Arabidopsis thaliana: one gene and its partner. The protein of the gene in region 1 purifies or fractionates together with the protein of each later gene. This does not show direct contact. Each region holds a gene or a part of one and is shown in the gene's direction. Other genes may lie near its edges.

Region 1 (4,095 bases):
ATCCGTCAATTTCAAGGTTAATAAAGTTTAAAGCTTTCAAAAACGTTTCTTTTGCTGAGAAAGAGAGATCTGATGTTATTTGAATTTCTGCAGATCTCAGGAAGAGACTAAGAAGCTGAAACCAAGTGGAAACGAGTTTGGTGATTGCATATTCATTGATGAAGAAGAGGAGAAGAATGAAGAAGTTACATTGGACCAACCTATGCCAATGTCATTGGAGGAACCATACATTGAATTTGATCCAATGGTAATTAACAATCACTTTTCAAAAGATCTTTAGCTTTTTTCTTTTAATGTGAATTCTAAAGAAAGTTTTTTGATTTGGACAGGAGGAAGAAGTTGAGATGGAGGATATGGAAGAAGAACAAGAAGAACCAGTTTTGGATATAGACGAATACGATGCAAACAACTCTCTTGCAGCTGTTGAATACGTCCAAGATCTTTACGATTTCTACCGTAAAACCGAGGTACGGTTTCTTAATATGTCTCTGAACCAAAACCATAAGATTTTGAATTCGGACTGAGACAATTTTCCATGGATTTTGGTAATCTGCAGAGATTTAGCTGTGTTCCTCTAGATTACATGGCGCAACAGTTTGATATATCTGACAAAATGAGAGCAATACTTATTGACTGGCTCATCGAGGTATATTCAAGCACCTCTCAATGGTAATGGATTATTGTATATATAGAGGCTAATTAAGAAGCTTCTTGGATGTTTCAGGTACATGATAAGTTTGAGCTGATGAACGAGACATTGTTTCTAACAGTCAATCTGATAGATAGATTCTTGTCCAAGCAAGCTGTTGCAAGAAAGAAGCTTCAGCTTGTTGGTTTAGTTGCATTGCTCTTAGCTTGCAAGTACGAAGAGGTTTCAGTACCTATTGTTGAAGATTTGGTAGTCATTTCGGACAAAGCTTATACGAGGACCGATGTTTTAGAAATGGTAAAATAAGATTGTTTCTTTCCAAAAACTCGGTAAAAAGATTATACATTTGATCTGATTTCAATAATATAATCTTTGTGTGCAGGAGAAGATTATGCTTAGTACTTTGCAATTCAATATGTCGTTACCAACGCAATACCCTTTCTTGAAGAGGTTCCTCAAGGCAGCTCAATCAGACAAGAAGGTAAAGAAACAAATCTATCAATGTACACAATAATATAAATGGATTGTGAATTACAAACTAATCTTGTTATTGAAACAGCTTGAGATCTTGGCGTCGTTCTTGATTGAGCTTGCTCTTGTGGACTACGAAATGGTTCGGTATCCACCATCGTTACTCGCCGCCACTGCCGTGTACACAGCTCAATGTACAATCCATGGCTTCAGTGAATGGAACAGCACTTGTGAATTCCATTGTCACTACTCTGAGAATCAACTCCTGTAAGTCTCTTTTACCCATTAGCACCTATAAAGACTCATCTTTGTAACTAATATGGGTTTGTTTTACAGAGAATGTTGTAGAAGAATGGTGAGACTACATCAGAAAGCTGGGACTGATAAACTAACAGGAGTACATAGAAAATACAGCTCCTCCAAATTCGGATACATAGCAACAAAGTATGAAGCTGCACACTTTCTTGTGTCAGATTCTCACTAAAGAGTGGAAAATAGTAGTTTGTGTATAGCTCGCTGCTAACATTTTCCCTCTCAATTTTTAATTACAAACGAAATAAGTTCAAAACATTCCTCTGATTTGATCTGTAACAAGTCTTTCTTTTATTGATATCTCAGCAATAAAATTCTCTTATACCAATCATATTTTTTGTCAATAGTTACAGATTCATAGAATATGTATGATATAAGGATGAGAGTTTTGATTTGAACTCTTTTTCTTCTACAACTTTAAATAAAACACATTGGAAATGAGTCTTAACTATACTAACACCGCAGACAAAACTAGTACCACCTAACACAAACGCTGTCGTTTTCAAGCTACATTTATATATCTCCCACCAACTCTTTCTCAGATCTTTTGTCTAAGTAAAAGCGAAAAGGGCAACAAACAAAAATAAACTCGGAGAATCTCACAACAATCATGGCGGCTACGACGAACTCTTTCCTTGTCGGAAGCAACAACACTCAGATTCCTGCTTTGAAACCCAAATCATCATCTCAATCCTTTCTTCACCTCAGCAAACCAAACACCGTCAACTTCGTCAGCAAAACCAAGCCCGTCGCTGTTAGATGCGTCGCTTCAACGACTCAAGTTCAAGATGGAGTTAGATCCGGCTCCGTCGGATCCCAAGAACGTGTCTTCAACTTCGCGGCGGGTCCAGCCACTTTGCCTGAGAACGTTCTCCTAAAAGCTCAGGCGGATCTATACAACTGGCGTGGATCTGGCATGAGTGTGATGGAGATGAGTCACAGAGGCAAAGAGTTTCTCTCGATTATACAAAAAGCTGAATCGGATCTTCGTCAGCTTCTCGAGATTCCTCAGGAATATTCCGTTTTGTTCTTACAAGGTGGTGCCACTACTCAATTCGCTGCTTTACCTCTCAATCTCTGCAAATCGGATGATACAGTCGATTTCGTTGTTACTGGTTCGTGGGGTGATAAAGCTGTCAAGGAAGCGAAGAAGTATTGCAAGACTAATGTGATTTGGTCTGGGAAATCTGAGAAATACACAAAGGTTCCATCTTTTGAGGAGTTGGAGCAAACTCCGGACGCTAAGTATTTGCATATATGCGCCAATGAGACTATTCATGGAGTTGAGTTTAAAGATTACCCTGTTCCTAAAAATGGGTTCTTGGTTGCTGATATGTCTTCTAACTTCTGTTCGAAACCTGTTGATGTATCTAAGTTTGGTGTGATTTACGGTGGTGCACAGAAGAACGTTGGTCCATCTGGTGTCACAATTGTGATCATTCGTAAAGATTTGATTGGGAATGCTCAAGATATTACTCCTGTGATGCTTGATTACAAGATTCATGATGAGAATAGTTCGTTGTACAACACGCCTCCTTGCTTTGGGATTTACATGTGTGGTCTTGTGTTTGAAGATCTGTTGGAGCAAGGTGGATTGAAAGAAGTGGAGAAGAAGAACCAGAGGAAAGCTGATTTGCTTTACAATGCTATTGAAGAAAGCAATGGCTTTTTCAGATGTCCTGTTGAGAAATCAGTGAGGTCGTTGATGAATGTGCCTTTCACATTGGAGAAGTCTGAATTGGAAGCTGAGTTTATCAAGGAAGCTGCTAAAGAGAAGATGGTGCAGCTCAAAGGACATAGATCAGTGGGAGGTATGAGAGCTTCTATTTACAATGCAATGCCTTTGGCTGGTGTTGAAAAGCTTGTTGCTTTCATGAAAGATTTCCAGGCTAAGCATGCTTAGTTTTAAGGGTTTTTGCATTTTGGTTATGTTTGTTGAAAGATGATAAGCTTTAAAGATGATAAGCTTTAAAGCTTATGATTTGTTTTTTTTTCTTCTTTTCAGAATGAATAATGTTTAACAATGTATCAAAATCTTTCTCCATCAATTGGAAAAACAAGTTTGTTAACAAACAAAGAGCTTTGTTATTTGTTTGAAGTGATTATGATTGATGATGAAAACCGCCTTAAAGAAGCTGCAGGTGATCTCATGTTCTCTTTTTAATGTCTCCTTTCCCTGCAACTCCCTGAAACTGAAGATCCTGTTTTAACAAAAAAGCAAAATTCAATTCAGATCCCAAACTATACTCAGATATATAAATACACAGTTCACTGTAGGAATTAAGAAAGTAAGTTACCATTTGGTATTGTCTCTCTATAAGCAACAGCTACATTTTGAAAGAACTCTCTGGTAGCATCTGCATATTCAATCAACTAGCATATTGGCACACTACGAAAGCCTGAGCAATGGAGAACAAAATCAGAATACTATTTTCACAATCAAGACTCACCATGCTCCATTGTCATAGATGGATCTTGCTCATCAACAAACCCGATGAGTTTTGCTGGATTTCCAGCCACCATGCTTCAGAAACGCCCGAGAGAAAATGTCAATTTGAGCAATGTTCAAACAAAAAAGCTCAACGAGATTGATATTTAGATGCATGTCAGTGGTTTCATACCTATGCGAAGGAACATCCTTTAACACAAGCGAACCAGCAGCT
Region 2 (5,335 bases), on another chromosome or scaffold:
TAACCATGCAACTAAATTGAAGACCTAGAAAAATTAATGTTAATTGAGTTTCAACTAACCATTTCAAATTTGTGTTAAGCTAATTTATTTATCTTAATCAACTAACGTAATTTGTTTTTAAACTGCTATTTGCTAAATTCATTATGTAGGAGTAGCCGAGTAGGACCCTGAATGGTACGCTCAAAAGAGGTAGCAGCGTCATCGAACTTAACGTTAGGACACCCTATGATTGATCGTATCAAATGACCAAAATTAAAAAGATGATTGAGTAAACCAATTAATTTTGGTATATAAACAATCTTTTTATTATCGTACACATTTTTGGGATGTGATGTGACTAATGAAAGGTTTAAATATATTTAAACATGATAAACGCAGAAACCACCATATAGAGGAGAAACTAGAAAAATATAATTTGTCAGTCATGTGTCTAAATCCACACCTACTTTTTTCTCATGCTTTTTTTCTTCCTGCAAATATTGCATTTCCTTTGCCTCTCTCACACATTTCCTCTGTCACTTTCTTTTTTATATATTTTTATTTCGGAATTCCATTACCGTGAAAAAGCTTTGTTTACAACAGTAATTTTGTTTCAAATGCTTTCTTGTTGTCTATTTTTATCAATTACTATGCCTCTGCTTGAATAACTTAAAAACACAAGTGATGTTAATTGTGTTATTGTAGATCCTATGAACAAATTTAATTTATAGACGTGTGAAGTTATAAATGAAAGATATCATTGAGTGAGTGATCACCGTTGCAGATAATGTTTAAAGAAAAAAAAAAGGAACAGTTCCTTGTTCATGTCATCATGTGTTGAAAACGGAAGGAGGGAAAGAAAAATCTATCACTCTCAGATTCAGAGCCTCACGTGGGGTAAACTTAGAATTCTATTTTTAGGTACGAATCAAAATATACGACCCGTCGCTTTTAACATGTCATTTATTATACCTTTCACTCTCATTTCCTCCATGCTTTTTTTTTAAAACGTAATTAGACCTATTCATTCTCCATAATATAATACATAAATACAACTTATAAGATTAATAGCCTCGTACACTAACATTAAAGAGTAAATAACCGTTTGTATTTTCCATCTTTTGATTAATGATAACTATAATTTATGAAGAACATCCATAAACTCATGAGTTTTATTTTGAACGCAACATCCATATTTAGCTTTACATTCATTTTTTTAATAAGATTTCAGTCATAGTTCGAAAAATGAATGTTGGGTTGGTTCCGATGGTAAAGCGAGCCGTATCAACAAAAAAGGCCCAAATAAAAAGTGGTATACTGTTGGGCCTAAAGATGAATATACAGAAGCCCATATTAAGACAATTCGGCCCATTCAGCATTGCGTAGCAATCGAATTGATATTTAGCAAATCGAGGAAAGCAATTGACTAACTAGATAATACTGATAAGTGGGTCCCACATAATTCTGACAGCTTAGAGATGGAGAAGATCATCACCGTTAGTCCAAGTTGGGTCAATAAGGCTTACGCCGTTGGATATCAAGATATCCGTTAGATCGCATACACGTGGATACTGTTCAATACTCCTGACCGCAGGGGATAAGACACGTGTTATATTAACGAAGAGTAAGAATGGTTTCTAATAATTTCTTCGCTCCCTTTCTTCTTCTTCTCTCCTTCTTTGAATTTTGATTTTGGTTGAATGGAGATATCAGAGAGAGTTCGAGCTCGATTAGCTGTTCTCTCAGGTCATTTATCGGAAGGAAAACAGGATTCTCCAGCGATCGAGCGATGGTGCACGTCGGCGGATACGAGTGTCGCACCGCTTGGATCTTTGAAGGGAACACTGACGATCGTCGACGAACGCACCGGAAAAAATTATAAAGTTCCGGTCTCAGATGATGGTACCGTTAAAGCCGTTGATTTCAAAAAGGTTTAACCCTTTTTCTAAATGACCATTTTCCTATCACTGTGGGATTTTGAGCTGAGAATTTGCTTTGTTGCGTGTTGTTTGGCTTGCAGATAGTGACGGGGAAGGAAGACAAGGGGCTTAAGTTATACGATCCAGGTTACTTGAACACGGCTCCTGTTCGATCTTCGATTTCTTACATCGATGGAGATGAAGGGATCCTTCGTTACCGTGGCTACCCAATTGAGGAAATGGCTGAGAACAGTACTTTTCTGGAGGTGGCTTATCTTCTCAGTAAGTGTTTTACCTTTTAACCTTACTACACAATTTCAAGTGTTATGTGTATCGAATTGGACATTGATGAAAAGTTTTCTCCTTTACTATATTTTCTGGCAGTGTATGGGAATCTGCCCTCTGAAAGTCAGCTATCTGATTGGGAGTTTGCAGTTTCTCAGCATTCAGCTGTGCCACAAGGTGTATTAGTGAGTCTCTAATCCTTGGTTGATGGATTTCAATTTCGATTTGTAAAATGGAGTTAGCCTGTTCTTTACTAGTAGCCTATTTTCTTGTCTGGTCGAACAATAATTTGTCAAGACTGTTCTATACATGTTGTTCTGAGGATTGTGTGCTGTACTCAAAGCTATATATTTCTCATATCTAACTCCACTTACTTGATAACTTTTGTGCAGGATATTATACAGTCTATGCCTCATGATGCACACCCAATGGGAGTTCTTGTGAGTGCAATGAGTGCGCTTTCCATCTTTCATCCTGATGCTAATCCTGCTCTTAGGGTAGGTTTAACCTTATATTACTTCTCTAACAACATGTCAGGCCTTGTCACTCGCTAGTTTTAGCTCTTTTGAAATTGTCCGTATAAACATGTTGACTGATACTCTATTGGGTGCAGGGCCAGGATATTTACGATTCAAAACAAGTTAGAGATAAACAAATTATCCGCATTATTGGAAAGGTATTTTTTTGTTATCAGTGGTTACCTTACTTCTTCCTATATTGTGTCACGCATAAACATATTTGGACTCTGAATTTCATGAAGATCTGATGCAACTAAACGTGTTTGCGATTTGTGCAGGCACCAACAATTGCAGCAGCTGCTTATCTGAGGATGGCAGGAAGGCCTCCTGTTCTTCCTTCAGGAAACCTTCCTTATGCAGATAATTTCCTCTATATGCTTGATTCCCTGTATGTCTCTGCTATCTCTTTCTTCTTGAATTAGTTAGAAACTCAACTTTTAGATTTAGTTTTAGATCTTGACGCTTCAGAGAACTTGAAGCCTAGTTATTTTTTTACTGTGTACATAACTTGTAGCGTGCCATTAACACACTTCTTACAGGGGAAATAGATCCTACAAACCTAATCCTCGGCTGGCTCGGGTGTTGGACATCCTCTTCATACTGCATGCAGAGCATGAAATGAACTGCTCCACCGCTGCTGCTCGGCATCTTGCCTCTAGGTACTTATCTTTGGTTGGAATCTTAGTGACCTTGATAGGAGATATATTGATTAGGAAATGTCTTCTTGTAGCGGTGTTGATGTCTACACTGCTGTTGCTGGAGCTGTGGGAGCGCTTTATGGTCCACTTCATGGTGGTGCAAACGAGGTATGCTATTTATTCTCATGTCTTCATATGTTACATCTTCTGATGTATTTTCATGCTCCATGGTCTTTGAAATTCATGTCTTTGGTTCCATTAGGCTGTGCTTAAGATGTTGTCAGAGATTGGGACTGTTGAAAATATTCCAGAGTTCATTGAGGGTGTGAAGAACAGGTAAAATCAATTCTTGAAACTATATGCTTCCGTTTCCGAGGTTTGTGACAAGTCTTTTCATTAAAATTCTCATCCCTTTGACATCTTAGGAAGAGGAAGATGTCTGGTTTTGGACACCGTGTGTACAAAAACTATGACCCTCGAGCTAAAGTCATCAAGAACCTGGCTGATGAAGTATTTTCCATTGTTGGAAAGGATCCTCTAATTGAGGTACGCTATGTCCACGAAGTTCAAGCTTATACTACAACTTGATGCCCACCTTTTCGATTTAGTGTAATTTTTCATGTTTCCTTAAAGCCAATGTGTTTGATTCTGATGTCTGCAGGTTGCTGTTGCACTTGAGAAGGCAGCTCTCTCTGACGATTACTTTGTTAAGAGAAAGCTGTATCCAAATGTTGACTTCTACTCTGGATTAATATACAGGTAAAAGTTTGAATGCATGTGCAGTATCCATAACTTCCTCTCAACTTCATCTAAATCTGCAAACTTGGACCATTACAACAGGGCAATGGGATTTCCACCGGAGTTCTTCACGGTCTTATTCGCGATTCCTCGCATGGCTGGATACTTGTCACATTGGAAAGAGTCACTGGATGATCCTGACACCAAGATCATGAGACCACAACAGGTATAGTTAATCTCTTTCCAAGAATAATAAGAGAAAGATTTTTCTTTGGATCAATTTGAAACTTGGATGGTTCATTGGAATATTAAATGTTGCAGGTGTACACAGGCGTGTGGCTGAGGCATTACACACCAGTGAGAGAGAGAATAGTGACGGATGACTCGAAAGAGTCAGACAAATTGGGTCAAGTCGCGACTTCAAATGCATCAAGAAGACGTTTGGCTGGATCTTCAGTTTAGACGTAGGCCCTTTTAGGGTCCATACTATACATCAAACCACACCGCAAAGAATAAAAGAGATTGGTTTCTCTAGCCTAAAGCTAAGATACTTGATCATACTCGAAACTTAGATTTCTCATTTTGTAGGCACAATATAGACTTGATCTATATTTGCTTCAATCCATCTTCTAAGGGTGTTTGTCCGCCTTGTTTGTCTTCTTATCAGAACGTGTTTATTGTATAAAATGATTTATGGTTATGGATTATTACTCTAATTTCTATATCGAATGCTTCTGCAGAGACGTTTGTTGTGAAATATCTCGGCCAAAGCAACAAGTAGAAAACAAAGCACTTTATTAAATCATTGTAAAAACTTTTGAAGATCTATTGTTACAAACTAGGATATCATCAAGCCAGAGTTTCAAAACTCGGAGTTCTTGAAACTTGAAGTAGCCATGTAAATGATACACTCGAAGAAAAAATGATCTGTAAAAAAGCTATATAAGTTACATTACATGTTTTTGTCTGGTGGCTGCATTTTTTGAAGTTGAAGGAGCAGTCCCAGGAAGGCCGTTGATCCTCCTTGGAGGTAGCTTTTGTCCACCAGAAGGAACGCTTCTTGAAGTTGAAGGCGCATTAGCGGATAAGCCAGTCCTCTTTGGAGCAGATATACTATACAAGACATGATCCGTCAAACCGATCAAGTTTGGGGGATAAAGAAGTGGATCCATATAGATATATAGATACTGAGGACATGTTACCTGAAACTCTTCTGAATCGTGTTCTTTTTAGTTTCAGTAAGATTTCGTCCACCATA

Evidence for each region. The genes of interacting proteins can lie anywhere in the genome.
Region 2: the proteins of PSAT (region 1) and CSY3 fractionate together in Arabidopsis thaliana (co-fractionation; one large-scale study listed by BioGRID). This does not show direct contact.

The regions. Positions count from the first base shown.
Region 1 is NC_003075.7:16,902,163-16,906,257, forward strand, and holds PSAT (phosphoserine aminotransferase), read left to right. Parts: upstream 1-1,896; 5' UTR 1,897-2,042; coding exon 2,043-3,335; 3' UTR 3,336-3,560; downstream 3,561-4,095. Other genes in the region: CYCB2;2 (Cyclin B2;2), read left to right, coding at 1-16, 94-247, 330-467, 557-646, 725-946, 1,032-1,130, 1,209-1,387, 1,457-1,604; SERAT3;2 (serine acetyltransferase 3;2), read right to left, coding at 3,593-3,633, 3,730-3,789, 3,883-3,956, 4,054-4,095. UniProt on the Arabidopsis thaliana protein: Involved in the plastidial phosphorylated pathway of serine biosynthesis (PPSB). Catalyzes the reversible conversion of 3-phosphohydroxypyruvate to phosphoserine.
Region 2 is NC_003071.7:17,802,336-17,807,670, reverse strand, and holds CSY3 (citrate synthase 3), read left to right. Parts: upstream 1-1,597; 5' UTR 1,598-1,679; coding exon 1,680-1,910; intron 1,911-1,999; coding exon 2,000-2,180; intron 2,181-2,282; coding exon 2,283-2,368; intron 2,369-2,575; coding exon 2,576-2,680; intron 2,681-2,796; coding exon 2,797-2,859; intron 2,860-2,979; coding exon 2,980-3,089; exon of another isoform or gene 3,090-3,240; coding exon 3,241-3,360; intron 3,361-3,431; coding exon 3,432-3,507; intron 3,508-3,601; coding exon 3,602-3,675; intron 3,676-3,764; coding exon 3,765-3,885; intron 3,886-4,000; coding exon 4,001-4,098; intron 4,099-4,179; coding exon 4,180-4,303; intron 4,304-4,398; coding exon 4,399-4,539; 3' UTR 4,540-4,830; downstream 4,831-5,335. Other genes in the region: AT2G42780 (transcription elongation factor B polypeptide), read right to left, coding at 5,025-5,190, 5,280-5,335. UniProt on the Arabidopsis thaliana protein: Peroxisomal citrate synthase required for the fatty acid respiration in seedlings, citrate being exported from peroxisomes into mitochondria during respiration of triacylglycerol (TAG).